Linked DNA regions of Tamandua tetradactyla. The protein of the gene in region 2 interacts with the protein of the main gene of each other region in a biochemical or structural test. Links are inferred from orthologs where the notes say so. Each region holds a gene or a part of one and is shown on either strand. Other genes may lie near its edges. The genes, in order: AXL, GRB2, EPS15 and PTPN1.

Region 1 (7,900 bases), on a different chromosome or scaffold from region 2:
GAGACCCCGGTGGTTCCGGGGTCCAGGTTGGGGTCAGGGGCTGACAGAGGGCACCAGGCCCACACACGGCTCAGAGGACATCCGGGACAAAGAAGTCTATTCACAGAGAGGCTGGGCTGAATGGAGGAAGAACGAGCAGAGAAACACACAGAGATGAGCGAGACACCCAGAAACAGTGAGAAAGAAATGGAAAGATGGGGACGGAGATGGGTGGCAGAGAGACAGAAACAGAGAGAGATATACGGACAGAAACAAGGAGGCAGATGGGGACAGGGATGCAGAGACAGCGACAGAGACAAAGAGATACAGAAACAGAGACAGAGATACACAGAGCAGGCAAGAGGGCCCGGCAGACACGCAGAGGCAGTGAACCATGTCTGCACCGCCCCCTTCCCTGGCTGGGCCGGGCCGGGCTCACCTGCGACTTGCAGAGTTTGGTGGGGGCCTTGGTGCGAGGCCCAGGCCACGGGAGCAGCGTCCTGCAGCCAGAGTAGGTCCACGGGCTCTGGGGGTCCCTGGGCCCGGCAGGTCAGGTTAAAGGGGGTGTCGGCAGCCACAGCCCTGTCCTCAGGCTCCTCCAGGAAGTAAGGCAGGCCTGGGGGGCGGGGATGGCAGGCAGGGGTCCAAGCTGAGGTCTCTGAGCACCGCCCCCCCAGGTGTCTATGTTGGAGGCTTCAGGACTGTCCCCATCTGACACACTCCCTGCCAAAGACCCTGCCTCACCCTCAGATGTCTGACACCCTGCCCCCCAGGTGTCTTTCCAACCCTTAGGACATAAGGTCCCAATGTCTGACCCCTCCCCTTAACCTCTGACCCCCCAAATCTCTCCTCCAGAATGCCTGACTCATCCTCACCTCCTTATCTGAGTCTACAGAATGTCTTGCTCCCACCATGTCTGGCCCGGCAGGCAGACCTATCATCCCTGTCCCCTCCCCTGGCCAGAATTTATGGCCCCCCAGCTTCCCGATCCCTTAAAATCGCTGACAGTCCTAGGCTAGATGCGCCCGGACCCCCAGGGCTCACCCTCCAGCCCCACATAGCCAGGCCGGGACAGGAAGGCCCCTCCTTCCAGGACCACCATACACTGGTATCGCCCAGCATCCGACAGCTGCAGGGACAAGATCCTGGTGGGGCAAGACGGGGGCAGAGAGGTGCAGGGTCAGAGCTGGGCACTGGGAGGGGCTGGTCAGAACCGGAAGAGGGGCCTCTGGACTGGGAAGCGGAAAGAACCGTGGAGGAGGTTCTATTATTATCCCATTTTACAGAAGAAGAAAGTGAAACCCAGAGGTTCTGTGACACACTTCATGCCCCACAGCTAGGAAGTGGTCAGGCTGGGATTCCAACCCAGGTGGCCGGGCTGCAGGCGGGCTGTGATAGGGGTAGGGGTCGGGGACGACAGGGACCAGGAGGGGTGCAGGGGCCGGGAAGAAACTGGACACCTGAGTTGGCTGACCACCTTCCAGTCGTCCTCGCCGTCCTCACCCAGGGGCACCTGGATCTGGGTGCTCTCCGCCAGCTCCAGGATCTGTCCGTCCTGAAGCCAGTTCACCTCGGGGGGCTCCTGGTGAACGTGGAGCTCACACTGCAGCGTCCCCGTCAGGCCCCGGGCCCCCGTGATGTTTCCTGGGCTCCTCACAAAGGGATCCGCTGCAGCAGCCTGTGCACCTGCAGGGTGGATGGGACAGGTTGGCTGAAAGGCCCCCACTTCCCTCTGCACCCCTTCCTGCCCCCCCCCCCGCTGCCCACCCACTGCCAGGACACCCCCCCCCCAAGCCCTCAGGCCCACATAGTTGTAGGGTGACCTCAGAGGCCAGTGGAGGGTGGAGGCTCTGGGGGCAGGATGGGCGCCTTCCTAGGCACTGGGGTCCGTTCAGAAGGAAGCGGGGTCTGGTAGCCCCCACAGCCTGGAGGCCCAGCAGGGCCAGCCCTGCCCTCACTTGGGGTCTCCGGAGACCAAACAGCTCAGGCTTCGTGGATGGAGGGGAAGAAAAGGGCAGGGGAGGGAGAAGAAACATAAGAGAGACAGAGAGAGAAGCCCGAGAAAGCCAGGCACGGGGTACCGAGACAGAAAGAGAGACTTTCCTGAGAGTGAAGGGAAAAGAGGAGAAATACACAGAGGGGGACTGCAACAGAAGAGAGACACACACACAGAGAAATCGAGGCAGAGAGAGACTCAGAGATGAATAGGGAGAGAGAAAGAGCCAGAGAGATAGGGCTCCTTTCTGGAAGATTCCTTCGGGTGCTCCCCAGCTCAGCCCCTCTTCCCAGGACCCCAGACTCAAATGCAGCCCCCACCAGCTCCCTCAGCTTTCGCCTTGTCCTCCCCTACTCCTTTCTGTCCGTGTCCTCCTCCTTCAGTTTTTGTTTCTTGTCCATGTTCCTCTCTTGAGTCTCTTCCTCCCCCTCTCTCTTGGTTTGTCTCGAGTCTCTGTCCTTCCCTGCCTCCCTCTCACAGTCCGTTTCTCTCGTCCGAAGGAAACACTCTGAGCCAGCCCAGGAATCGCCCCCAACACCTGCCATCCACCCCCCTCTCACCGCTCCTGCCCCCCATCCCCCATGCCCCCCCCCCCCCCCGCCACCGGTGGTCCTGCCCCACCGGCCCCCACCACTCACCCCTGGGGGCCGCGCACCCCCAGCACCAGAGCGCCAAGCACCAGGCCAGAGGGACCCTGCCCATCCTCGGGCCACCGCAAAACCGATGCCGAACTTTCCTCAGAAGTTGCTGGGCACCCCGCGGGGGAGGGGGCAGGGACAGGCAGTCCCCGGCCCTCCCCCCAGCTCCCGGGGTCTGGCACTGGCCGCCTGGCACGGTGGGGGCCCTCGGCCGGCTCTGCTCCGGCGCCTTCCAGGCTCTCCTGCCTCCTTCTCTTGCTCCCAGACTTCGGGAAACCCTTTCCCCGCCCCTGGCTCCCTCCTCCCCCTGCCTCCGCCCACTGCTCAAGCCCAGGGGGCCAGCTGGTCAGTGAGGGGTTAAGGCGGAGAGGAGGGGTCCAGCCCGGTCTTAAAGGGGCCCTGGGGGGAAGCTGAGGAGGGGGAAAGAGTCCCTTGTGGCTGCGCCTCTCATCCTGGAGCGGTGAGGCAGGGAGGCTGTGTGTCTCCGTGTCCCAGCTCTGGGCGCTGTCCCTCTGGGCTCTCTCTGTGTCTGGTAAACATTCCTCCACGACTCCCCTCCCCCAGCTGTCCCCCACCCAGCCCAGCCACAGCCAGGCCTCCCCAGGCCCTTCACTCCCCCTCACACTCAGAGCTCCTGGGACAAGGACACATACGCACGCTCAGACACGGACCTGCAGAGGCTGGGACAGGCAGAGACACGCAGGGGACCCAGGACTCGCAGGGGCACGCTGTCCGCCCACAGGCACGCTCAGGAGAGCCGGGTGAGGGACTCAGCTCCCGGAGAAACCTCTGCAGCGGGGACACCTGGGACCTATGGACCCTCAGACACATAAGGTGCAGACATGCATACGCACACGTGCACACACGTACACACACACACACAGTCAGACATACCAGAAGACAGGCATGCTCCCAGGTCGGCGAGCATTCGAGTCAAAGGCGTGGGAAAAACACCCAGACACACATATAGGCAGAGAGCCTAGAAACATCGACAGGGACAGGCAGATGTGGAGGGAAATGGAGTCACAGGTGTACCTGGAAATACTGATCCACGGACATGGGGAAACTTGAGTGTGTTCAGCTACACAGAAACGCTCACAGACATGCCCGGGACCATTCCTGCAAGGAAGCCAGAGTGGTGTGCAGGTAGCAACAGCAGCTCCTGGTGTAAGCCCACCCCCCAGCCCTGGGCCCTGTACCTTCCCCGACAAGCCCCCTCCTGCCAACAGGCCCTGACCCCATGAACTGTCTGTTCCAGGGAAACAGAGGGACTGGACTGGTGGCTCCTTGGCTCCATCTCCACCCCCTCAGTGCTGGGCCTCCCCAGAAGTGTGATGGAGCAGACAGAACCCCAGACAGGGAGATGGAGTGGGAGTGGGAGTGGGGTGGTCAGGCTCCTGGATTTGCTATGCGGCATTGGACTTGGATTACAACAGCAATGTGGGCTCCGTGGGGCGATGTCTGGGTCTTCTCTGGGCCCTTCCCTGAGGACACCTTGGTGCCCTGTGGTCGGCATAAGACCAGGCCGGTGTAGGCGGGTGAAACCCCTGGGGCAGTCTAGCCTGCTGGGTAAGATCTGAGCCTTGGCATCCCCCAGACATCGGGGTTGGAACCCCAGCTCTATCATTAACCACCAGTGACCTTGGGCAAGTGACTGCTCCCCGGGCCTCGGTTAGTCCATCTGTAAAATGGGAGCAAGCAGAGAACCCCCCCTCAGCAGGCTGGAAGGGCAGGCAGATAACCTAGCCAAGGCACCCATTGTCCTTAGCAAGTGGGACTGGCACTGACAAGGCACCGGTGGCTCTCTTGGCAGCTCAGCTCTGTGCTCTGGGGTTGCAGGCTGGCCTAGCGGGATTGTGTCCCAGAGGCGCAGAGCCGGCGCCTCTGTGTGTCATCTGTGTCCCTAGGTTTTGCATACAGTGGTCTGCGGGAGAGTGGGCTGGGAGCAATTTCTCTGCTCCCGGCCTCTACTGCACACCTCAAAGTCCTACCTATTTCACCCCCATTTCACCTCCAATGCCTTCCACCCCACAGGGTCCAGCCCCAGCCTCTCCCACCCGGGCCCCTGCCCTGTCCTCCCCTCTTGCTCCCTCCACCCTGCTTCCCGCCCACCCCGCAGGCAGAGGGCTGTTTCTGAAATACAAGACTGGGTCTCCTGCTTAACCTTGGCCTCCCTCACTGCCTGCGAGGTGAGCTCCCAGCTACTAGGCAGGTCCAGCCTCGCTGAGCTGTCTCATTTATGTCCCATTTCAGCTTCTGTCTTAACTTCCAAGGCTGACCCTTCAGGGCAGGCCCCACCCTGCAGTCAGTTCTCAAGTCCTAGGGTCAGCCTCACAAACCTCTCCCCATCCCTTTACCCCTTCCCAATCCCTTCCTGCTGGGGTCCTGCCCTCCGGGCTGCCCCTCTCTCTCCAGCCCATCTCCCAACCGGGCCGTGTTTTTTCAATCCCCAGTGAAACCCTTTCCCCCTCTTGCCCAGCCTTCCACGACAACCCCCCAAACTCTTTATTGAGGCCTTTTTTAAAGTCCCCTTATCTCCACTGGACACTCCCTCCCCCCTCCCCAGGCTTCTTTCACTTCCTGACCCAAACAGCCTCCTCCCAGGCCCCAGAGCCTCCCCAGCCAGCTCCTCAGCCCTCTCTGGAGTGGCTGCCTGCCCCCCACCCCCAAGTCTAATCTAGGTCCCATGTTGCTCACTCTTACGCCCTGTCCTTTTCTTTGGCAACACTGCATGGGCTATCATGACGTATTTATTGGTGTGATTATGTGTCTCATGTCTGTCTCCTCCTGCTGGTCTCTGGGATGCTACGAGGGCAGGGATTGGGTATCTTCATCCCCACCACCCTTTAGAAGGGCTGCCATAAATGAATAATTGTGGCATTTTTGGAGGGGCAGGGGGAGTTGCAAATATGTTCAAAAGTCTCTCTTCACTTGTGTGAATCTGCTGGGGATTCCATATTCTAGGGGGAAGAGAGACGACAATCATAAATATTCATCAGGGGGGTGAGATGGGCAGTGAAGAAAAATAAAGCAGGGGGAGGATGGGGAAGGGTAGGTGTGCCATTTTAGAGAGGGCAGTAGACTGAGATCTAAAGTAGATTAGGAAATGAACCATGTGGGGGAAGAGTGTTTCAGGCAGAAGGAACAGCCAATGCAAAGGCTCAGAGGCAGGAGCTGCAGGAAGACAACTGTGGCCTGAGCAGATGAATTGGGGGGGGGGGTGGAAGAGGAAGGAGGTGAGATCAGAGACCAATCCTGTTGTTCAGTGTCTTGGCCTGGCGTGGACTTGGGCTTTTATTCTAACTTGATGGGAGCCACGGGGAGGTGGGGGGACAGTGGGGGAGCAGGGGAGAGAACAGGTTTGATTCATATTTTTAAAGGATTCCTCTACTTAGGCTAGAAAGTGAAAGGTTGATGAGGAAGTTCCTCACGGAGAGATTAGGAACTGGACCATCAAACTTCAGCATCCCAAACTATGGGACCACCAGTGATTGTGATGTGACACAACAAGGGATCTGGCATCTTTTGGGCAATTCCCAGTTCACAGGAGGTCCTGGAGTGAAGGACACTTTAAACAGCACCATAAAGATGCTGTCAGCCAAATCCAGAATATGAGAACGTGTACACAACAAAAGACTGATTTCCGCCGTCCCCCACCGAGAAATAACATAAAAAAGGTTGGAGGAGGGGAAAAAAGAAGATAAAATCGAAATAAAAAAGGGTGAGGAACTAATTTAAAAACCCAAAGTGACGTTTCAAACGAGAGCTCTGTGTGGTGGGCCTTTCTTTGCATCCTTATTTGAGCAAGTCAACTCTAAACTACATTTATGAGGCCAGTGAGAACATTATATTTGTATTTGATATTACAGAATTGACAGCTGTGATTGGCATGACCACAGGATGTAGTTTTGATTTTTAAAGTCAACCTTGGCTAATGATAAATGCATTATCCAAGTATTAGGGGAAGGGGCACTGATGTCTGTAGTTCCCTTCAAAAAGCATGAAAGAGCTGAGATAGACGGTCAGGTGGCTAGAAATGTGAGAAAGCAATGTAGCAAAATGCTGGTGGGAGAACCTGGGAAATGGCACATGGGCATTCCCCGTAAAGTCCTTCTATTTTTCTTTCTCTGTGTTTGAAAATGTTCATAATACAATATTGGGGGCAGAATGTTCTTAGCGGTTAGAGCTGCATATTGATTATTTTCTGGGAGGTGCTTGAAAATAATCTTAAACAATGTGATAGGTGAAATCAAGGGACAGATGAAATAAAAATAGCAAGAAGTTGATGAGTTTTAATGGGGGAGGGTGATGGGGACAGGAGGGTCATCGGGCCGTTCTCTCTCCTTGGGGTGTGTTTAAAAACTGCCATGCTCTATAGCAAATAAAAAGACGCCTCTGGTTTCCCGGACAAGAGAAGACAGAAAAAAAGGGCGGTGGGAGAAGCACGCAGAGGGGCTGTAAGTCTCTGCTTTCGGACTCGGGGAGTTCCCAGGGCGTGGGCTGGCTTTTCCCAGGCCTGCAGCCCAGCTTGGGTGAGGCTGGAGCCCTTCTCCCTGCACCCCCTTCCCCGCCCGGGCCCAGCCCTCCCCCTCCTTGGCCCCCACACCGGGCTCCACATCTGGTGCTGATGTCAACAGCCAGGGTGGGTGGGGACCATGTTTTTCGGCTCCAGCCCGGCCTCGGGGGAGGGGACTGGGAGGGGTTTCAGACACGGCCACAAATCCACACGCGTCACAAACCCACACGCAGGCCAGAAACCCTTTTATTGCAACGGGAGGACCTTCAAGTCACAGAGGGGCCAGGCCCAGCCTCTCCCTCAGCCCCCCTGAGCCCCTTCCGCTGGGTCTAGCTGGGACTTGGACTCTGGGGCTTGTCTGGGAGAAGAGGCTTTGTGGGGGGCGGCCCTGAAGGCCCCTGTGTGACCCAAATCCCCTGGATCCCAGCGCCCGGCAAGCACAGCTGCAGACCGGGCACGTGTTTGTGTTTGGGAGACTCTGGGACAGTGGAGAGTTGGGGGAGCAGGGCTTGAGGGCTGAGGGTGGGACGGAGTGGGTGGTGACTCTCCGTGGGAGGAAAATACTCGGGGGAGGGGCTACCACTACCACGGCGCCCCACGTCCACTGTCCTGTCCGTGTGACTCAATGGCTGGGGAGTGTGGCGGGTCGTGCCTGGAGAGGGGGCGGCGCAGGAAGGGAGCGGGCATTAGGGCCGTGGACAGGAGTGGGGTCTCCGTGTGCCTGTGTGGTGGCGAGAGCCAGGAAGGGCTGCTCTTTCTCGTGCCAGGGTC
Region 2 (7,614 bases):
TCAGCTGGAAAATGGGGATAACAACAGCACCTACCTTAGAAAGTTATTCTGTTGATTAGAAAGTACAGTCTCTGGCATAAAGTGCTCAAGAGATGCTAACTTGCAAGATCAGACCCTTTTCAAAGAGGGGTCCACATGTTATCACATTAAATCTAAATCTTCCATTTATATATAGACTTAGAAGAACTCTGAAAAATTAAGAGCTCTTTCAAATATAAACTTTAAAATTAAATTATTTCACATCACAGTCCTAACAATAGTCAAATATTTACACATTTAAAAATGAATCACATCAGACAGTCACTTATTCTACTAGGCTTCTAAATATTTACTTTGTATATAGAAGAGCTGTACTTTCGGTTGAGTAACTTTAAGCCACGCTCAGTCTCATTCTTTACCATAAGCAAGCTGCATCCTGGAAGAAAAGTTTTGGTTCACGGATCATCTGCATCAAAACTACCCAAAATTCACAGACAGATTCAGAGTGGTAAGGGGCCCTGGAGTTCTGCAATGAAAGGGCCTTTTGCCCAGAACCTGATTTTAAATAAGAGCCCCAGATGCTTCTTACACATACTAAACTTTAAGAATTACCGCTGTACAATAAAGGCATCTTAAGATTTAAAAATTTACATGCCAGACAGTGAACTACAATGTTTTGTATAAAATGAAAATAACACACATTCACTTGGCACAACTAGAAAAAAGCCATTTTGGACAAAAAAAGAAAGAAAAAGAATCTAAATGGTCATTCAATAATGCTGGAGAGTTCTTCTAATTTAAGCAGGTAACTATTAATTTCTTTTAAATTATGGTAGCTCTCTATTCTGTATTACTTCATTTCTTCAAACATAATGCAATTCTCCTGCTGCTGCATAATATCTGACATGATAACAAGAATTACTGGAAAAAATCTCTAAGTACCATGAAGTATTCAAATCCTAGTAATCCTCCCAAACCTGAATACACTTGCTGAAACTACCTAAAACCATTTATTTAAATGCTTGTTTTCATTATGAAAGAAGGCTGATTATCAAGAACTAATTTCTTTCATCTTGAGATTTGGAAAATTCTGACTATGGGAAGAGGCAACAGAGCAAATAAAGTTATCTATTTCTACCCTCTCAAAAAGGATGCTATCACAAACGTAGGGAAAAGACACTGAGAAAAAATAGTATTTCAATGGGTTAATAATAATTTAACTACCTCATCAATGGTCTAAATAAGTTCTATTCCCTTAAATTTTTCATGTCATCTTAAGGCCATTGCATAATAAGTTTAAATGATTTTCATTTTTTTAACATTAACCGTTACTCCCATTAAAAGTTAAAGTCATACAAGCCCCAAATTGACCCAATCTCCCTAAATATAAATGATACAGGGAAAAAAGCATAAGCAGGCCCAAAAGCACTATCTTAAAGCAAAGAAAACACCAGAACACAAATAACACAAGCAAACTACATTTGTGACCTAGTGGCAGTATCGATTACTTACGGATGAATTCAATCCTTTGAGCCTCCCAGTTCCCAGAGGGACAACTTAAGCTTCCCGTGGAATTCTAGCAACCCTTCTGGCTGGCTGAAGGAACACAGTGACCGCTTAAACGTTAAGGAATGGAAGCCGGAATGAGGGTATCTTCCCAAGAAAGAAAACGGAACCTTTAAATGAGGGAGAGAATGTACAGCCTACACCAAACTGCAGAAGAGGCTTTTGAGACAGGACACTAAGGAGGAAGGGGAAATAGACTGGGGGGGAGGGGAAGGGGAGGGAAGGGAAGGGAAGGGAGGGGGGGAAGTAGATGGGGGGAAGGGAAGGGGAGGGGGGAAGCAAATGACTTGCATTATACAAATAATGCATTTAGTGTCTATGCTAAAATGAAAATACCTAGAGATAGACAGGGAAAGCAATAACTGAAGAAAAAAGTGAAAGAGGGACAAGAGAGCCAAAATAGACAAATGCCAATTTCTTCATGTGTATTTCAAACTATTTTCTGCGTCCACAGAACCAAGTTAGACCTCGAGTGAACTTCAGCTCCTCTGCCAATCGTACTTTTATAGCACTTTAAACCAACCTAGAATAACTTTCTACATAAGCCGAGACTCACAATGCTTACGATATATATTCGTAGAGCTCTGCAAGTGAAAAATCCGTGTTTCTTGCCGAAATCGTTCCTGGGGCATTCCACCCAATTACCCAATTTTTCAGAGTAGCTCCCCCCAACTCCCTCCCCCCCCAAAAAAAACAGCGACAGAAATAATGGCATCTCTCCCGGCTCCGAGAGTAAACGTTCTAACGCACGGTACTGACAAGGTTGGAGGATTCCCTCATGAAATTCGGGCCCCGAACACCAACACTTGGTGACGTGGTGGCCGTGCACGTCGAAGAAGCATCACATTTGCAGCCTGCCCCGAATCCCCCGCCTCCTGGGCTAAGTCAGACTGACTCAGAAAATGAGCACCCAGCGCCTCTCGGGATTCTCCCGAGCCCCTTCAGAGCAAACCCTCAAGATAAACGTGGACTTTCAAGGAGAATCACCCCAAGGGGCCCCCGGGGTCCCAGGCTCTGCCTGAGAGCCGCGGGCGAAGGAAGACAGTCCCCAGGAAGGAAGCGTCCGAAAAGAGGAAACGTGGAGACCCGAGCCCCGGAGACTCCGCTCCTCGTCCCAGGCCTCGCCTACCCGACCCGAGATCCGCGGCCGGCCCGGCGGCCCGGGGCGGGCTCGGCTCGACCCCCGGGGTCGACTCCCGCCGCGGGGCCGGGAGGAAGAGGCACCCGAGCAGCGCCGAACGCCGCCGCCCGCACTCACCGTGGCGCAGCTGTTCTGCTCCGCGCCGGGCCGGCCCCTCCGCAGCGGTGCGAGCGACCGCCGACCCTGCTGCTGCTCCCCTAGGGCAGCGTCTGTGTCCGCCGCCGTCAGAACCAGCTTTCGTGACCGTTGCCGCCGCCACCGCCGCCGCCCGGTTGCCGAAGCACCTCAGCCTCCTCGCTTCCGCTCCTCGTCGGGGTCCCGCGAGAACATCTCCGCGTGGCCCCGCCCCACCCCGCCTCCGCGAGACTTCCCCCGGAGGAAAAGGCCCAGAGCGCAAGCGCTCCTTTTAGGCCGGGCCCTCGCAAGGTAGACACCATCTAGGTGCCAAGGCGCACGCGCCAGGCCGGTCCGCAGCAGGTGGCACTGGGAAGGCTCCGCCCCCTGGTGGCCGTAACCCTCTCGGTGCCAGAGCTAGTAAAGTACGCCGCAGACCCGAAGGTGTAACTCTTTCCAAACCATAGTCATTTTCCCTTCTCCTTACACCACAGCAAGGGAATGAGGGAAGAGGGGATACCTCTCCAACATGAAGCACGCTAAATAGAGGACCGTAACATGAAATGTTTGAGAACCGGTCCATACAAACGCTGCATTGTAAGATGAAATAACGGATTCGTTCGTTCATTAATCAAATCATGCTCCTAATATGTATTAGGTCTAAAAGATCCTACGACGGTCCCCTTGAAGGTGTGGGGAGAAAGAAGGAAATATTCAACTTCCCTATCTAGGGAATTCCTGACATTCTCGCAAGCAGTGGGGACAGTCAAATCAATAGGCTGAGCCTTCAATCAAACTTATTCCTGCAAAGGAGAAGCTAAGCCTACTTATAATTATGCCTGAGTCTCCCCCCAGAGAACCTCTTTTGTGGCTCAGATGTGGGTCTCTCTCTAAGCCAATTCGGTAAATGAACTCACTGCCCTCCTCCCCAAGTAGGATATGACTCCAAGAGGTGTAATTCTCCCTGGTGAAGTGAGACATGACTCCCAGGGATGAGCTGGGATCTGGTCTCATGGAACTGAGAAAGTCTTCTTGACCAAAAGAGGAAAGAAAGAAGTGGAACAAAATAAAGTTTCAGTGGCTAAGAGATTTCAAACCGAGTTGAGAAGTTATCTTGGAGGTTATTCTTTCGCATTATACAGATATTGCTTTTTAGTTTATGGTGTATTGGAGTGGCTGGAGGGAAGTACTTGAAACTGCTGAACTGTGTTCCATTAGTCTTGATTCTTGAAGATGATTATATAACAATATAGCTTTTACAATATGACTGTGTGATTGTGAAAACCTTGTGTCTGATGCTCCTTTTATCCAGGGTATGGGCAGATGAGAAAAAATAAGTATAATAAATAAATAATAGGGGGAGGAGAAAGGGTAAAAAATTGGGTAGATTGAAATACTGGTGGTCAATGAGAGAAAGGAGTAAGGAGTATGGGATATATGAGTTTTTTCTTTTTATTAATTTTTCTGGAGTGATGCAAATGTTCTAAAAATGATCATATTGATGAATACACAGCTATGTGATGATACTGGGAACCATTGATTGTACACCATGTATGGACTGTATCTGTGGGAAGATATCTCAATAAATATGTTTTTAAAAGATAATGAATACTTGGTTAAAGATTAAGAAAAAAGGGTATAACAATGAACAAATATCCCAGCCCTCAAGGAATTCACAGTCTGGAGGAGTAAGACAAGTAAACAATCATATAGCTATTGTTATAATTATTTGGCAAATGTTGAAGATGCTACAGAGATGGAGGGAGGGTTACTTTGCCCATCACAGAAAAGCCCTGGCTGAGAAGGTGATGTGATGATGTTTGGATTGAGTCTTGGAGGATGAGTAGGAGTTCGCCAGGCATAGAAGCTGGAGCAAGGCATTCCACATAAAAAGAACGGTGCCTACAAGGGAACTGAGGCATGAGAAAAAAGGAAGCGTTCTGTGCAAGGCTAAGTAGTTTGATGTCTGTACGTGACTAAGGGGAGTGGCAGAAGACGAGGCTTGGAGAAGTAACTCATTTTTCAGTTCCAAAAGCTCTTTCAATTAAAGGAGAGAACAGAATGCATCTGATGTTAATGTACTTTCTGGAAGCCAACAAAATAGCATTGTAATGAGACTAACCAAACATCTGATTCTGTAGAGAAAGCAAACCCTTTGGAATAAGGGAGGTTTGTTCTTTCACCAAGTATTTATTGGTCATCAACAGTGGGCAAGGTCCTGGGCAGTAAAAGTTGAACCTGACAGAGCCTCTGCTTTCAGCAGTTTGTGATCCAAAGAAACTTGCCTAGTCTGCAAGGCAGAGCAGTTGGCCCTAAGAACCAGTGAACTACATCTAGGACTGCAGAGGAAAGAAGCATTACTTGGAACTGGAACTTGAAAGCAGGGATGAAAGAATGACTGAACCAGTCAATATTTCAGATAGGCCCAGGATTTGGGGGAGAAATTAGATGCAAGGCCAAGATGCACAGCTTAGGTTTCACAGTCAGGTGATGTGCAACCTGCTCTGAAAACTTCTGAGTAGGAGATGTCTAATATGAGGGGACAGTAGAAAGTGGACCATCTATTTAGCATCTGCTTGTACTAAAATTGTAGCTCCTCTACAGCCTGGATAATATCCCTGTTTTACAGATTTGGAAACTGAGGGTCAGAGAGGTAACTAACTTATCCAAGGAAACCCAGATATTGCAGTCCTAAGATTTGAGCCTGTCTTATTCTAAAACCCATGTCTCTCCCCACCATGACACTCTGTTCTATATTGGTGGCCAGTAAAACAAAAATGAAAGGGAAGGACTTGGCAGCTGAGCCAAGAGGAAGAGGGAAGAGAGACAGTTACTTATTTCGTGGAGGCCCTGGGTGACAGAAGAAAACAAATTTACAAATCAAGAGTAGCTGATGGGGCTGGGGGTGGGGGCCATATACCGGGGTGCGGCAGGGGAGTGGGTAAGGAGGTGATGATGATGCCCTAAGTGTGGAAATGTGGAGTCCAGCACTCCAGGAGACATCCAAGTGGAAATATCCAGTATACTGATGAAAAGCTCAATGCATTCAATGATTCTCTGCACCATTTGCTGAGCATCAATTTGACTGAGAACAGAACAACCCCTCTGGGAGTTTGCAGCTTAAAGGGTATAGATGTCCCTCTGGGACTATAATAGGCTATTACTGGTGGTTTTGGCAGCCCACAGGAGGGGACCTGACCTAGTCCAGGATCAGGGAAGGCTGAGGAAGTAGGGTTAAGCTGAGAGCTGAAAGGAGAGTATTCAGTAGGGTAGCCAAACTGAGAGGGAGAGACTGTTTTAGGCAGACTTCACGTGCAAAGATCAGTAAGAGAGAACTCAAGGAAGCCAGTATAGCTGGGACAAGGAGAGAAAATGGGAAGAAGGATGTGGCATGTGGCTGAAACAGTTAGAGCGGCTCATGTGCCTTTTCAACATTGCTCAAGACTTGAGACTTGATGCTGTGAGATACTGAAGCAGGCGTGACCAGCGGTCAGATTTCATTTTCAAAATACTTTATCACTCTGGCTGCAGAATGGAAAATCGATTGGAACTAAGATACAGAGTGCCTACAAGATAAGATCTCCAGTCCTTTGCAAGACTTTTAAAGAGCTGGCCTCTGCTTACCAGCGCCCACCCGCTTAGTCCCCAGCCAACGCTCCCCATCCCCACCCCCATTCCAACACACACTTCACCAGTACTAAACCATTTGTGGTTTGCGGAAGATGCCATGATCTTTTGAGGGTCCATATCTTTATACTAGCTGTTTCCTCTGCCCGGTTGGCCTTCTCCCCTTTGTTAGGTCCCCAAGTCAATTTTAGAGCTCCTTCTCCAAAATTCCTGCCTTACCTCCAATCTCATTGCATTAACGTTTATTTGCTTCTTGGTTTCCTAATAGTCTCCAGGCTTCAGGACAGATACGACCATGCCTTTTCACATTTGTATTGCCAGCACCCAATACAGTGAGTAGCACAAAATAGGGTAAATGAAGTGAATAAATGGATGGATGGATGGATGGATGGATGGGTGGATAAATGGATGAATAAATAACAGAGATACAATGCTGTGGCTGTTTATTTTTTTGCACAGTGGTGATATTTGAAGCTAAGGAAGTGGCTGATATCTCAGCAAAGGTTAGATGCCTAAGAGAACAGAGAAGAAAGTTATATACTTCCTTTGAAAATGCAGCATTAATAAAACAGATTCTGAGTATGCCTATGCATTTGCATAGAGAACAGTTTTGGAAGAGAACATTTAAAAATAAAAACAGTTATCTTGAAATGGTACCAATTGTGGATGAATTTTTAATAAAATCTTAAAGCAGTTACACTGTCAGCTCGATAATTTGTTTTTCTAGACATAGAAATTTGAGAAAATGTTGCCCAAGATTGTTCAATGCAGAGAAAAAAACACAGGAGAGGCATAATATTTGGAATTTATGTATGTGGCTAATGTTAATTAGGGAGATGAAAGTGGAAGAAGGAGCAAGCTGTGAAGTAAAAGTCACACCCTGATATGAAAACCTGTTGTAACTATAGCAAAACTTGCTAATCACAGACTGGTCATCTCAGTCATTTCAGAATAATGAAATTAATCCTCAAAAAGTCTCTGGGGACAACCAAAGCAATAGGGTGAGCCCCCAGTCTTGGGATTTGTTCATATGAAACTTAACCCTGCAAAGGATGGATTAAGCCTACTTAAAATTAGGCCTAAGAGTCACCCCCAAGAGAATCTCTTTTGTTGCTCAGATGTGGCCTCTCTCTCCAGCCAACACAATAAGCAAACTCACTGCCCTCCCCCTCTGTACATGGGATGAC
Region 3 (7,771 bases), on a different chromosome or scaffold from region 2:
AAGAACTAGAAAGGTCCTTAGATCTGCTAGCTCAAACTCCCTTACTAGAATGTAAACTCCACGGAGGCAATAACTGTCATCTATTTTGTTCACTAGCATATCCTCAGTTGGCAGAGTTGAAAATGGAACTAGAGTTTCATTACTCTAATATTCTTATCCTCTCTAGAAGCTAATATACAATTTACTTTAGTTTGGGGGTTGGGAGATTGAGGGTTGGGTGGCAAGCAGGGGAAGAGGAAGGAAGGCATAAATTAAAATATTTTTCACATTTCCCTCCCCCGCAACTGTCAGTTGCGCTTAATCAATAAAGGCAGAAAATCATAAACAAGACAATCCCAACACAGTGTCTAGCACATAATACTTAAATATTTGTTAAAATGAACCTACCTCAAACCCATCATTATCTCACAACCAGAGGCAGAAACTAATTTCAGTATCCTTTTAATCTTTATAACTGCCATAGAGTGTTTTAGAATTTTCAATCATTCATTTGACAAACATTGACTAATCATTTTCTTCAAGATGGGCACTGGGGGAGAGAGAGGAATTAAAAGCTACCCTTGCCCTGAAGGATTTCTCACTCCAGTATGCCTACATGTTGGGGGAGGGGGAAAAGGGTGAGGAAGGCAGGGGGTGACATAAATATATCAATAATGAATGTGAGACCAGATTGCATTATCTCAAATTAAGCAGTTAAACTCAAGCAGTTAAAAAATGTTTTTAATTAAAAACCTACATATCTGCAAAGTTCTACAATAACAAGGAGGCACATTAGTGTATACTAACAATTGAAAAGGTTCTTTTTTACTGGGCCTTTACAATATATCTCACTGCCTTTCAATATTCTAAAATCAAAATAGTCTAAAGTGATTTTTTCGAATTATCAATATAAATGAACCATCAATGTAGTATGTTCTCTCATCTTTGAAACACTGAGGAACAACACTCGTTCCTAATTCATCATTTACTGTGGGTACAGGTTAACTCCTAAATATATAACTACAAGAACATAAATCACTTAGGTGACTACAAACCTGATAGAACCTGAAGCAAATCACCAAAATGAATGAGAGAAAAGAGATATTTTAAAAACAGTATTACCCAGGGAGAAACTAAAGTTTACACACAACTAAGAAGCAAATCTATAAAAGTCTTCAAAAGAACAAAAGTATCAGAGGAGAAAACTCCTGCCAGAATTAGCCAAGAGAGCCAAAGAGCAGTAGCCTGCCAAAAGGGATCTTGTTTAGTACATGTCACTAACTACACTCAGAAAGCTAACACCCAAAAGTCAATGTTGCCATTCTTCAAATTTGAATTTCAGGCAGACCCTTCCAAAGAGATTCAAGACCAAGACTCTAGCCACCACATTCCATATTAAAGGGGTCTTCCCTGCTATCTGCTTTTCAAATCAGGATAACTAACACCAAATAAATGCAGAAATAAACATTCACTTATGAGACTGTTATTTCCTGCAAACTGAAGTTTGTTATTTTACCTGCAGCACTTGTTCATTAGTAACTCCTGGTTCCTGGGAGAAGACATTTATCACTAAGTTTCTGTTGTGGAGTACTAGGCACAAAATAGCAAGGCCTCTTGTTTCTACACAGAAGATCCTACTGCCTTATTAAACACCGACAAATCCAAGCCAAGAAGACTACAAGGTAACAGAAAAATTCCACACGGTGGGCAGGAAGGTTGGGCCCCAACATGGAAGTATATGGCCCTGTTCGGGTCAGAGGGAGAGGAAGGGATTGGCAGACACCTGTCATCTCATCATACCGGCTATCATACTGGCCAACTACAATTGGCTTTCTTTGACAGAGAGGGAGGAAAGAGGTTCTCTGAGTAAGTGATGTTGGGAGGTCTTCTGTGAAGCACAAGGACTGGTCTCTGAAGGAAGCAAAAAGGCAAGAGGAAAAGACCTTAAAGAACAGATTTTGGTGAAGATTCCCCAGGACAAGTAATCTCAGTGAATGTTCCCAGGACCAAGACTAGAGGAAGCAAACGCTTGTTTCAAGGCTGTTTCCCTCTTGTACGCTTGGAGAGGGATTAAGTGAGAGCCCACCTGGCAGGGGTGGAGGTGGATTTGGAAAGGAAAAGACTCGAAATCGGGATCTGGCCCAGAAGATAACCTGACCGGGAGGGGAAGAAACTCAACTCAATAAGGAGTTAGCAGAGTGAGTACATTGATAGGATGAGGATGACTGAAGAAAACTGCTGGGGAGGAGGGTGATTTCATTGGACTCCAGTAGGCAAAAAAAAAAAAAGCCGACTTAAAGGGGAAAGACTAGTTTCGAGTGAGCTTGTGCGTCGGGAAGGTAATTCTGAGGGGGGAAGCGCGCTGCCTTGCCAAGAGGGCGAGCCTCGTGCGGGGCGAGGGCTGAAGCAGGGGGTCAGGATGGTCCACGCGAGCTCAACACGGAGCTCACCTGGGAGTGCGTCTGGCCTGGAAGAAGGAAACTTTCTTGGGTCGGTGAAAGCTGACTGGAGTGAGAAGGGCCGGGCATGGGTTGATCCAAGCGGGGGACACGGTCCACTCAGCAGCGGCGAAGAGGGGCCGGTCGGGGGGCGAGGGGGGGGCACTGAGGGACCCGGGGCGGGGTCGCGGCTGCCGTCGCTGAGCTACCGGCTCGGGATGGCGCCCTCCCCCAGTCACTCACACGCTGCTTCTCATCAACACCGGCCGCCAGGCTAGCGAACCTGGAGAAGCTGCCCGGGTCGGCGAACCTAACGACAGTGGGGGAAGAAGTCTGGAGCCACGAATAGGCCAGGCACCGGCCGGGGGACCCCGGCGGCCGGGCGGGTGGCGTTACCTGTGTCAGGGAAAGCTGGGCCGCCGCAGCCATGGTGTTTCCATCATGCACAGGAGGGGAAGGAAGGACTGGCGGACGGAGACTCGGGCGGGGAGGAGGCGGAGGGAGCGGCCGGAGGCGAGGCCCGGGCAGGCGGGCGTCTACCCCAACTTCGACAACTTCCCTCCTCTTGCCCGCCCCGCCCCGCCTGGCCCCGCCCCCCGCCCGCCCGGCGAAGGCCGCGGCGGAACCCAAACCTCGGCACTGGAGTTTGAGCCGCCAGACCGGAGCTGCCTGTCCTCGGGGCTGCCTGAGAAAAGCCCGCGCGAATAGGAAATTAAGGCAGACGGGGCTGCGGAGTGGGAGGGGAATCCTGATTGTCCTGTGATCTTTGGGCAGGTCACCTACCTAGTCCGGAGCTTCTGTTTTTTGAAAAATGGGAGAAATTTATACCCACAGTCCAGGTAGCTTGTGAGGGCTAAATGAGATAATAATGGTAAAGAATAACAGCACTTTGTATGTCCCAGGCTCTGTGCCAGACGCTTTAATTTTTTTAATTGTATGAATGAGGGAACTGAGACGCAAATAAGTGTCTTGCCTAAGATCATACACCTGAGTAGATAAACTGGATTAGAATCCAGGTCTGACTCCAAAATCTTTCATTTAACCATCTACTATTGGAGTATGATATCACTGTCTCTCCAAGTCAAAATCTAGGTGAGAGGGGGAAAAAAATCCTTTCCTCGCCTGCTGGCTGCCGCAAATGGATTGGCCAATAAAAGAACACAGCCCTGCTTAGATGCCTGCATCACCTCCTAACTCTTGCTTTAATCTATCTAGCAAACTCCTCCTCATTCCTTCAGACGAAACTCAAGTGTCAACTCCTCTGGAAAACTATTTCCTGACCTCTTCAAATCAGAGTTACTCTCTTCTTCAGTTCAACATTTCTTCTTTTAGGAAGTCATCATCACCTGAATGACTGTTTATATCTGTTTTCTTGCTAGACTGAGCTCCTCAATGACAACGGCTGTTTCTGATATATTTCTGTCCTCAGACCTTAGCATGTAGTAGGTGCTCAGTGAGTGTTTGCATGTCTTAGTCCCTGCCTGCATTAAATGTAAGACTTCCTAGACTTTCCCATGCTGCCACCTTCAGTTGGAATAACCAACCAGTCATTTGAAACCCTCATCTTCAAAGGTCTGGCTTATATGCCATCTCCTTCAAGAAGCCTTCTAGGAATTCCCCACCCCACCTCTTAATTGCTCTGATACGATCCTTATTACAATCTGCCTTGTTTTTAAGAGTTAGTTGAGGGCTTGTCTACACCCCACTAAACTGAGGACATATGGCCGACTCTCTACCACAACCACTCACAGTTTAACCCAGCCCAGAGAGCGCTTCGATAAATATCTTTGCCCAGAACTGGTCTCCCTTTCTCAGTCACTGTGGCTTCCCATGACAATTAACCACAACTCTATCAAGCCCACACCCCTGATACCATTATCATAGCAGTCCTCATTTGATGCCCTAGGAGCGCCAATTGAACAAACCCATGATGGAGCTGACCCCACCTAAGTTTTTAGACCTTTTCCACTATAGGCAAACCATCCCAAAAATGTCCCCAGGGACACCTAACTTTGCTCAGACCCCTTCAACAAGGTCCATCCATTAAGAGCAAGTAATACAGGTCTGTTGTGCAATCACTTATTTAACAAAGAGTCTTCCTTGGCCTCTTTTTGCTATTTTTCTTTTTGCCTCAAGGGTGAAGGGGAGACACTGTTTTAAATGACTCTGCTTTGGTATGTTTATCAGCTAGAACCACAACTGATGTCTCTATTGGAATTTTCTATTTCATGTTATCACATTTGAGCTTCACAGCCACCTGAGAAGATAGTGATCATCATATGCACCTTACAGATGAGGAAACTGGGCATAACAGAGACTAAAGGGATTTTCCCAGTCACACTGCTAATAGCCAAAGCAGTGTAGTGTAGTGGAAAAGCAGTGCAGTGTGATACTGTGAACTAGTAATTGTATACATGGATGATTTGTATGGTGTGTGAATATATCTCAATAAAATTGCATTAAGAAAAAAAAAGCAGTGCAGTGTAGTGGAAAAAACAGTGCTCAGACATCAGAAACACCCATTTTCTAGCTGTAAGACATTAAGGTAGTTGTGAAGATAAATGAGATAAGATGTAGGAAAATGCCTAAAGCTGTAGGTACATGAATTTAGTTAAGAAATCTGAAAGTGGTAGAGCAACTTGATTTTGGGAGTTTACTTTTACTTGCTGTTCCAGTCTGCTAGCTGCCGGAATGCAATATACCAGAAATGGAATGGCTTTTAAAAGAGGGAATTTATTAAGTTGCAAATTTATAGTTCTAAGGCCATGAAAATGACCTAATTAAAGCAAGTCTATAAAAATGTCCAAATTAAGGCACCAACAAGAGGTTACCTTCACTCAAGAAAGGCTGATGAAGTTCAGGGTTTCTCTCTCAGCTGGAAAGACACATGGAGAACATGATGACATCTGCTAGCTTTCTCTTCAGGCTTCTTGTTTCGTGAAGACGTTTTCCTTCTTAATCTCCAAGGGCGTCTGGCTGCATAGGCTCTCATGGTTCTTAGGAGTCTGCTCTGTTGCTCTCTCTTTCTCCAAAATGCTTCCTCTTTTAAAAGATTCTAGTAAACAAGTCAAAACCCACCTGGAATTGGTGGAGTCACAGCTCCCTCTAATCCGAGGTTAATAGCCACAATTGGGTGAGTCACATCTCCATGGAGATAATCTAATTGAGTTTCCAGTGTATAGTACAGAATAGAGATTAAAAGAAATGGTTGCTCTCACTGGATCAGGATTAAAACATGACTTTTCTAGGGTACATAAATCCTTTCAAACCAACACACTTGCTGTTCAAGAAGTCTCCTCCAAACCATATAAGATACAAGATGTTATTCTGGTTGAATAGAGTCGAGTCCCTGGTGTACACACTCCTAGAAAAGGAGTGTGCAGTAGTAACACTGAAATAGAATATTGAAGTCATTTAGTATGTGAGTTCAGACAGAGCATTTAAATTATCTGAACTTCAATCTCTCATATGTGAAAATTAGCAAATCACAGTTTGCTAATCACAAAATTAGCAGTATGGAAGTTTTTGAGGAAATATAAGGAATTATTATTATTTAATACAACTTATAATAAGTAGAAAATGGCAGCTAATATTTGTGCAGTATTGCTCCTCACAGTTTATAAATGTTTTTACATACAACATTTAGCACAACTTCTGGCATCTAGTAGTTGTGGCGAAAGTGTTAAACAGAACTATATACATAATCTCATTTGTAATTATTTGGATCTCCATTTCATACATGAGAAAACCAAAGAACACATTTTTTATAACTAATTTGTTTAAGGAAGGATCACTGAAAGCAGATTTGGGCCTTAGAGAAGAAAAAGAAAAGGGAAGGGAAGGGAAGAAAAGAAAAGGGAAAGGAAAAAAGAAAAGAAAATGTGCTAGTTTGAAACTGTTATGTATATGTACCCCAGAAAAGCCATGTTCTTTTAATCTAATCTTGTGGGGGTAGACATATTGTTGGGTAAGACCTTTTGATTAGGTTATTTGACCCCACCCATTCAAAGTGAGTCTTAATCTACTTACTGGAGTCCTTTCAGAGAGACATTTTGGAGAAAAGCACAAATGCTTGAAGAAAGAAAATGCCCCAGCAGAAACCAGAAGGACCCACAGGAGCTGAGAGCCATTTTGAAACCAACCCAGGAGAGAAGAGCCAGCAGACGTCACCATGTGCCCTCCCATGTGACAGAGGAACCCAGATGCAGTTGGCCTTACTTCAGTGAAGGTTTCCTCTTGTTAATGCCTTAATTTGGACATTTCCATGCCCTAGAATTGTAACTTAATAAATCCCCTTTTTAAAAGCCAGTGCTGGGGTGCACGGGTAGTTCAGTGGTTAGAATTCCTGCCTTCCATGCAGGAGACCTGAGTTCAATTCCTGGACCATGCACCACCACCAACAACAACCCAAAAAAAATGCAGAAAAGCCAATGCTTTAGTGCGGTGCAATGGTGGCTCAGTGGCAGAATTCTCATCTGCCATGCCAGAGACCTGGGTTTAATTTCTGGCTGCCCATGCAGGAAAAAAAAAAAAAAATCCAATGCTTTAGCAGACCAAAACAGAAGAGAGAAAAATTTTATGAAATTTGCCCCAGGCTCCCTTCCATACTACCAATAATTTGTGCCACCAACTTCCTCCCCTCCTTGGCTCTGGATTAAATCAATAACTTGATAAGTAGTAGGGGATGGAAGCAGGTCTACAGGGGTGGGAGAAAATGGTCCAAACTCCTAAAAAGGCCTAAAACGTCTGGAACTGGATTTTTTAAACTGACACAGCAGTGATAGTTTGCAAATGTGTGTCCCAGATCTCATCAAAGCACTAGGTCATATCCCAAATCTATTTTAGGAGAGCAAAATGTAGCTAATGGAAGATATGTTATGATCTAATTCACTGTAACAAGAATGAGCTTCAAGGAGCAGACTAAAAAGACTTACCTGTTTTTTCTAGGACACTTTAAAGCCTCTGGGTCTCTAAGCCTCTGATTCCTCATGTGTACATTGTAGATAATACTTACCCTGTAGGGTGGTGTAAGGATTAGAGACAATACATAAATGGCCTATCAAAAAACCTGGCCTAAAATTTGTATCTTGGGTAGCACATTACCTAATTTAACTCATATGGCCTGTTTAGTTGAACGCTGTAAGTACATGGAATCTTGAATAGGGCATGAGATCTTGTTGGTCTGTCCAGGTTAATGTAATGCCCTGATAAATCCCAGAGTAATTTGGGCAGTAAATAAGGAAGTATTTGCAAAGTCCCCTTGGGGGACTGGGAAGAAAGGGGGAAATATTCAACTTCCCCAACTGGAGAATTTCTGATATTCTCACAAGCAGTGGGGACAACCAAATCAATAG
Region 4 (7,821 bases), on a different chromosome or scaffold from region 2:
TGGGAGGAGGGTATAAGGTTTGTGGGTAAGGTGTACAAGATGAATTAAAATGGGGGAAGAGCCAACGGAGGGCCTGGTGACAGGCAGGTTCTCAGGGAACCTAATCACAAGGTAATCCCCACCAAAATGTTTTACACAACACAGAATGGCTACACCTTTCTTATGATGAAAATAAACACAGCTCAAAGTTTACATCTATCCAGGGGAAACTCCCAACAACTGACAGGTTTTAGAAACTCTAACAAAGTTATAGTGCGCATTACACCAGACAGGATGAAATAAATAAGCAAATACAAAAGTGAGAACAATTTATTAATACCACTGCATTTTGGGCTGGAGAAATAAAGCATGTATCCTGAAGAGCAGAATTTCACAGAAATAAAAGTTGGAAACTCCAAGAAAATATATATATATATATGTGTTTAACCAGTTAGACTTTACATTAATTACAATGACGACTATTACTCTAACTTAGAAACACCACACTCAGATGGGTTTCAATACTGTTTTTCTAATGTTATCAGTTTCCTGAAACTTTAGGCTTTTTTTTTTTTTTTTAAATACATGGGCAGGCACCGGGAATAGAACCCGGGTCCTCTGACATTCCAGGCAAGCGTTCTTGCCTGCTGAGCCACCGTGGGCAGCCTTTAGGCTTTTTAAAAAAAATAATAAACTTAATTACTAGGTATAACATCTACAGAAAAACACATAGAGGAATAGAAAGTACAGAAAAGAACACAAATCATAAGTATTCAGCTTGACAAATGTTTGTAAGTAAACACACTGATACAACCACAACCCAAGCCAAGAAAGAGAATATTTCAGTACCCATTAGCTCTATTTATGCCTTCTCCAGTCACTACCCCCTTACCAAAGGTAAACACCCTCCTAACCTCTGATATGATAGTTATGACTGCTTGAACTTCATGTAAATGGATTCCTAAAGCATGTCCTCTTTTGTTTCTGGTTTCATTTGCTTAATGTGATGATCAAGAAATTCATCCATGTCACTGCGTGTAGGAGGAATCCACACTTTTTCACTGCTGCACAGTATTTCCTTGTATTACAAAGTAATATTACAACGTATATATCCTGACTACTTGACTACTATTGATGGACGATCTGGGTTGTTTCCAGTGTCTGGCTATTATAATGCTGCTAAGAAAATTATAGAGCATGTCTTTTGGCCCACCTCTTACACATTTCTCTTGTCTATATAGCTAAGGGGGAGCCAACAAAGAAGATGTATATTGATTTGCTTTAGTAGGTATAGCCAAACAGTTTTCTAAAGTGGTTATGTCAATTTGCCCCTCACCAACAGGATGAGTTCCAGCTGATCCCACATCTTTGTCAACACTTGCTATTTTAACTGGTCATACAGAGTTATCTCACTGACTTTAGTTTACATTTCCCTGATGAGTAATACTGGTACATACCTTTTCATACACTTACTGGATGGTTTACGTATTCTCATTAGTGAACCATCTGCTCAAGTTATTTGTCCACTTTTTTCTATTAACCTGTCTGTCTTTTTCCTGGTGATATGCAGGCATTCCTTATATATCTTGGGCATAAGCACTTTGATGGTCATACATCTTGCAAATATCTTCCAGTCTGTGGCTTGCTTTTCATTCTTTATATATCAGTTAGTGTTTTCTACGTTTCAAACCACCTCAAAACTCAGGGGCATACAATAACTACTTGTTTGCTCATGATCCTACTATGGGTTGGCCATTTGGACTGAGTTCAGGTGGGATGGCTTGACTTGGTTCCGTGTGATGGTGGCTGGGCTCACACATGCAGTTTTGGCAGGTGGTCCAATGGCCTCACTCACATGGCTGGCTTTCAGCAAGGATGATGAAGGTTAACCAGGTCTTCTGTTGCTCACCAGCCAACAGGCTAGCCTGGGCTTGTGCACATGCTAGTGTTTACAGAATTCTAAAAGATAAGCAAGGGAGGGCAAGGCCCAACATGCAACTACTTTTGGAGGTCTCTGCTTAAGTCACTTAAGTTAAGGATCTTATTGGCCAGAGAGTTAGGGCTATGGCCAAGCACAAATTCAAAAGTGAAGAAAGAGACTCCACCTCTCAATGGGAGCCACACTCAAAGGAACATACAGACAAGAAAGGGAGGAATTCCTGGATAGTTATGCAAATAGCCTACCACACACACTTATGGTGTCTTTTGAGGAACAAAAGTTCATCACTGAAATGTAATTAAATTAATAAATACTCTTCTTTATAGTCAGCTTTTTGGTTCTTGCTTACGAAACATCTGCAGATGCCCAAATTCATGAATACATTCTTATATATTATCTTCTGAAAGCCCATTTAAAGAAAAATGTTTTCCACACATTGTAATTTATATCTCGGTCATTATACCTCAAAATGTTCCAATAAAATATATAAACAACAATATAAAGCTTATCTGTCCCTTCTAACAGCTGTTTATGTGCACAGGAAGCACAACTTTAATACAAAAACCTAACTTGACTCCCAGGCGCTCAATGTCTGCTAGACACCTCATACAGAGTGACTTGTCTCTTTCTCTCCTTTGCTTACTTATCCTTTGGAATATCAGTCTCCTCTTTATTCATGTAAGTTCTTCACATATATATTTAAGTCATTAACTCTTTGTCTTCACTGGAAACCACTTTTTTAAAAATTTATTTGTCTGAACATTTGACACATCTTATGTATGGGAAGTTAAAGTCTGAAAGGACAATCACAAAATTGTCAATATAGCTATAACAGAACTGCTACCACTGCTTAATAGGATAATGAGTGGTTTTAATTTTCTTTTGCTTTTCAATTTTATTCTAGAGTGAATATGTATTACTTGTGCAAAAGAAAGCTTTAGAGCGGTTTTATTTTTTATGTATTCAAACCTATTGACCTTTTTCCACTATGACTTCCCTTACTGCTTCTAAAGTTAGAAAGTCTTCTTCCTCTGCATTTTTTTTTTTAACATTTGACCTTAATCCATCTGGAGTTTATTTTCCTTCAACAGTCTTTATACTGCCTTTAAAGCCACATACCACGCTAAGAATAGGAGTTTCTTCTGGTTCAGTCAGCGTACGGGCTCCATAACCATGCTCAGTTTAATTTTTGTGTTTGCATATTGCAGTAGTTCAAAAGGCTACATCCTCTTCCCTCTCACTAAACTCAAACAGTAACAAAATGCAGCTGCATCTGGTAATTCTGATTTCAGAATGAACAAATTACTTTTTTTTATAGATGGATGAGCCATTACAATTAGAGTTTTTAAGACAAACAGGTAACAGAAGATGATGTAGGTTAGTCATTCTGGCAACCATTTAGCAAATTAAAAATCATGAATACAAGAGATTAAAATACAGGGAATATTTTAAAACTACAAGAGAATTTCTGCAATTATAATACTCTAGTTCAAATTTACTTACTTTTTTGTATTTGACTGATGTGTATTATTTGGGAATAAATTTGTAGCGAAATACACTAAAACATTAATTAAATCATTTCTGTTCTCATGTTCATAAGCAGATGTTACATTAAAAAAAAACAAAAAACATCGCTTTCCATGACAGTTACGTGATTTTGAACATCAGGTGAAACAAATTTTAAGTATATTTAGTTGAAAAGCAACAGAGTAGCTTCTTCAAATAATACCCAGCTTAAAAAAGCAGTATCTCAAAAAATTAGTACACCTTACCGCCTCAATATATGTAATAAAACAAGATTTTGTTCAAGAGTTCTATCTCTCCCCCCTCTCCATTCATAAACCTTGGGCAACAGTCTCATGGTCTTTAGATCACAGCTGCCTTCTTAGAACTGAATGCATAAAAAAATAAATCTTCTTTACTATGGAAGCAGGCAGTGATCCTCTGCTAATAACATATGATCAATTTTTAGAAGCATTCAAAGTCTGACAGATACAAAATCCTTCCTTAAAAGGGCTTGCTCAGCATTAATACCACAACTAAAACTGCACAGGAACCAAAACCCATATACACATTACTAGGTACAGAATTAGGATAAACACTTTCCAAAAAATCAAGATAACTTCAAAACCACTAAAATTTAGTCATATTTTCATTCATCAAGAATATTTGTACTAGCTTTCGCAAAGTGACTGTGTGACTGTGAAAACCTAGTTCTGATGCTCCTTTTATTACAGTATGGACAGATGAGTAAAAAATATGGATTAAAAATAAACAAATAATGAGGGAACAAATGTTAAAATAAATTGGGTAGAGGGAAATACTAGTTGTCAATGAAAGGGAAGGGTAAGGGGTATGATATGTATGAGTTTTCTTCTTTTTTCTTTTTATTTCTTTTTCTGGAGTGATGTAAATGTTTTGAGAAATGATCATGTTGATGAATATACAATTATGTGATGATACTGTAAGTCACTGATTGTACATCAAGTATGGAATGTTCACATGTTAAGAATGTTCATGCTGTATGTTGATTGGTTTTATTAATAAAAATTAAAATATACTTTTTTCTTAAAAATCATTTAGAATGTCTGTTTTCCATATTGTGCTGAACAAATCAGTCTTCACAAGATTACTCAGAGTAAACTATAAAATTTCACTAAGATAAGTTTATTAGAGGACAGGATAGTTTAAAAGCCAAAAATATAAAATACTTTCAAAGGTAACTGGTTTTACCACCTAAGCATACTCTTTAAGACTAACTTTTACATAAGCTGACATAGCCAAGTTTTGGGCTCACCTTCACAACCAAGTGCACAATATACTTCCAACCAATCTCTGTCCTTGCATTCCAAGTTGTGTGCCAAGTGTTGACCAGGCAGGTAGTTAAATAATGGACCTGACCTCAGTGGGTTCCCACATGGTGGGGAAAGACTTACTGTGCCACCAACAAATACTACTGAGGAGAAAGTAATGCTCAGAGGGGAAACCCAACCTACAGGAAGAGGGAAAGGAACCAAGGTTAGCTAGTAAAACCGCAGTAATGAATTCAGGAGAAACTGCGGGACAGCCAACATCTGGTGGAGAAGAAACACAGAGTGAGTTTCCAGGCACTGGTGACCTGTTGCTGCTCCTTTCAGACTCTGGTTGGCGTCAATATGAGGAAATAAATCGTACAGTTATGTCTACGCTGTTTCTCCACCCTGTTTCGGCACTGTTGCTTGAAAGGAAACCTCAGCAATGGTGAGGGCCCCGAGTCAGGGTAGAGAAGAGATGGCCATTCTCCACTGGAGCAACGTCAAAAGCTTGAGTCACTCTATAAGTCCTTGCATTAATCACACCAAAGGTCAGAAAGAAGGGAGCACGCCCACATCCACACTACAACAGCCTGTGACGCAAGTCCCAGTGCCCAGGGCACATGTACAACTTCTAAACTTCTTGTTTCCACCTACCAGGGCACGAAAGACTTTCCAGAAGTGATGGAGTATAAGCTGTCCATCTCAAAGAAACCAGATTTGGCTTGTTCACCACTGCAGCGCAATTCCTGCAGACAGCAGGCACTCAATAAAGACTTAATGAATGAGTATGCTAAACACTTCACTGCAGTGCAATTCCTGCAGACAGCAGGTACTCAATAAAGACTTAATGAATGAGTACGTTAAACAGTTCCCTGCAGCGCAATTCCTGCAGACAGCAGGCACTCAATAAAGACTTAATGAATGAGTACACTAAACAGTTCAGAAAGAACCAAAGTGAAAGTTATGGATTTGGAAGGAAGAAAACATAAACAGCAAGAGGCAGATAGTGGAAACAAAATAATGACTGCATAGGAAAGTACCAAGAGTCAAACCAACTTTGAGAACTTGCTCTCTCTTTGAAAAAATTCAGGCAGGGATGAGTAAACACTGCCTTGGTAGATGCTATTTGAAGTAGTTACTCTGAGCATTGCTTTTCAACTAAATATACGTAAAACGAAATTTGCTTCGCCTGACCTTAGAAATCAGGTAGCTGTCATGGAGAGCTACGTTTCGATTTTGTTTTACAAATCTGCTTATGAACATGAGAACAGAAACAATTTAATACTTTTGATGTTTTCTTGCATGTGCCTAGCAGAGTCTACCATGAGATAATTAGAGGCCACACTGTGAATGCTCCAGACCTCTGGATTATATCGTTTCTCTCCTTGATATTTTTCCTCCCCAAATCAAAAGTAGAGGTGGTTCTGGCTCCTCTGGTCCCTGAGAATTCAATTTTTTTCTTTTAAAAGAATTATTTATGATGCTGGAATTTGCTTCAAAACAATTCAGAGCTGGGAGGGGTAATGAGATGAGAAAAGATGGGTTATGAGTTTATAATTGTTGTAACTGGGTGATGGATACACAGAGGTTCATTATGTTATTCTCTCTACATCAATATATTTAAAGTTTTCCATAATTGAGAGTATCAAAAAAAGATTCTACTTTAAAAACAAGTAGGGGGGAAAAAAAGCAGAGAGGAATGATACAATCAGATACATGTTTTTAACAGATTAGTCTGACTTCATGATTCAGGAAGATGGTGCCATCAGCAGCATAATTTATCAATCTCCCTGAACCTCTTCATAAAAAAAAAGAATTAAAGCAACAAGGCTAGCGAAACTAACACAGCCAACTCCACAGACAAAAATTAAACTAGAGACACGATATCCTTATGATTCTGAACGTGTAAGTGGGGGCACACCACCAATAGCTTATTCAGTCCCCACATGGGAAGTATTTGTGTGACAAGTGAATAAAGACAACAGGTGATGATGACTCTGAGATCAACAGAACCCCACATCACCACCAGGTCGTCATTGGAAAGTGTGACAGGCCAATCTGTGTCAGCAGCTAAAGTGGGAGCAGATACTGCAGATTCCAATTCACAGGTGAGTGCAATGCCCCATCACGACCCCAAAAACACAAAAATGCTGAAGAACCTACTGAAGAATGAGCTTCAGGATTCAAAATGATTAGGGAGATTTAAAGAATGTATAGTGAGCAATATAATATTTACTAGTGGATCCAAGACACAGTATAGTGTCAAGAAGGCATCATGCTATGTAATGGCTATCAGACCTGACAATGTAGAGCACTACTATCAGGAAAAGGGGAGTCAAACAAGCAGCATTTTTGAAAAGTAGAATAATTTTGCTGAATAGTTTTACAGATATCAACTGGGAATACTTCCAATTAGATGCTGGAAGGGAATGAAGAGATCACTAGCTAATATTAATACTGCTCACAGCTGGGAATCAACAGCAACAGTATAAACTGAGGGAACTAAGGATACAGTATAAAGATAACAGTATTGAAGTAATCACTAGAAAATGCAAATATTCTTAAACACTAAAGATTTAATCATTTGTGGAAATTATTCCTCAGAAAGTTAAAACATGTTCAGTATATACAATAGAAATAATGAAAACCATTAACCAAACCCTGCAGAGGATAGGCCATGCCTACTTAAGTTTAGGTTAAGAGTCACCCCAAGAGAACCTCTTTTGTGGCTCAGATGTGGCCTCTCTCTCTCTTAGCCAAAACGACAAGTAAACTCACCGCCCTCCCCACTCTACAAGGGACATGACTCCCAGGGGTGTGGACCTTCCTGGCAACATGGGACAGAAATCCTAGAATGAGCTGGGACTCAGCACCAAGGGACTGAGAAAACCTTCTCGACTGAAAGGAGGAAGAGACAAATGAGGCAAAATAAAGTGTCAGTGGCTGAGAGATTTCAAACATAGTCAAGAGGTTATCCTGGAGATTATTCTTACGCATTATACAGATACCACCTTTTTAGTTAAGATGCAACAGAGAGGCTGGAGGGAACTGTCTGAAAATGTAGAGCTGTTTTCGGTAGCCATGTTTCTTGAAGATGATTGCAGAATG

What was found.
Region 1: the proteins of GRB2 (region 2) and AXL form a complex in vitro, tested with the Homo sapiens proteins (2 studies listed by BioGRID, with this or other methods). The link is inferred for Tamandua tetradactyla from reciprocal best matches to the Homo sapiens genes GRB2 and AXL.
Region 3: the proteins of GRB2 (region 2) and EPS15 form a complex in vitro, tested with the Homo sapiens proteins (2 studies listed by BioGRID, with this or other methods). The link is inferred for Tamandua tetradactyla from reciprocal best matches to the Homo sapiens genes GRB2 and EPS15.
Region 4: the proteins of GRB2 (region 2) and PTPN1 form a complex in vitro, tested with the Homo sapiens proteins (2 studies listed by BioGRID). The link is inferred for Tamandua tetradactyla from reciprocal best matches to the Homo sapiens genes GRB2 and PTPN1.

Annotation. Positions count from the first base shown.
Region 1 is NC_135342.1:22,537,792-22,545,691, forward strand, and holds the start of AXL (tyrosine-protein kinase receptor UFO), read right to left. Parts: upstream 3,002-7,900; 5' UTR 2,678-3,001; coding exon 2,614-2,677; intron 2,448-2,613; exon of another isoform or gene 2,296-2,447; intron 1,666-2,295; coding exon 1,440-1,665; intron 1,125-1,439; coding exon 1,024-1,124; intron 596-1,023; coding exon 419-595; intron 1-418. UniProt on the Homo sapiens protein: Receptor tyrosine kinase that transduces signals from the extracellular matrix into the cytoplasm by binding growth factor GAS6 and which is thus regulating many physiological processes including cell survival, cell proliferation, migration and differentiation.
Region 2 is NC_135332.1:15,811,361-15,818,974, forward strand, and holds the start of GRB2 (growth factor receptor-bound protein 2), read right to left. Parts: upstream 3,017-7,614; 5' UTR 2,804-3,016; intron 2,236-2,803; exon of another isoform or gene 2,102-2,235; intron 1,689-2,101; exon of another isoform or gene 1,492-1,688; intron 1-1,491. UniProt on the Homo sapiens protein: Non-enzymatic adapter protein that plays a pivotal role in precisely regulated signaling cascades from cell surface receptors to cellular responses, including signaling transduction and gene expression.
Region 3 is NC_135328.1:170,658,176-170,665,946, reverse strand, and holds the start of EPS15 (epidermal growth factor receptor substrate 15), read right to left. Parts: upstream 3,010-7,771; 5' UTR 2,847-3,009; coding exon 2,814-2,846; intron 1-2,813. UniProt on the Homo sapiens protein: Involved in cell growth regulation. May be involved in the regulation of mitogenic signals and control of cell proliferation. Involved in the internalization of ligand-inducible receptors of the receptor tyrosine kinase (RTK) type, in particular EGFR.
Region 4 is NC_135327.1:2,307,396-2,315,216, forward strand, and holds the start of PTPN1 (tyrosine-protein phosphatase non-receptor type 1), read right to left. Parts: upstream 3,011-7,821; 5' UTR 1-3,010. UniProt on the Homo sapiens protein: Tyrosine-protein phosphatase which acts as a regulator of endoplasmic reticulum unfolded protein response. Mediates dephosphorylation of EIF2AK3/PERK; inactivating the protein kinase activity of EIF2AK3/PERK.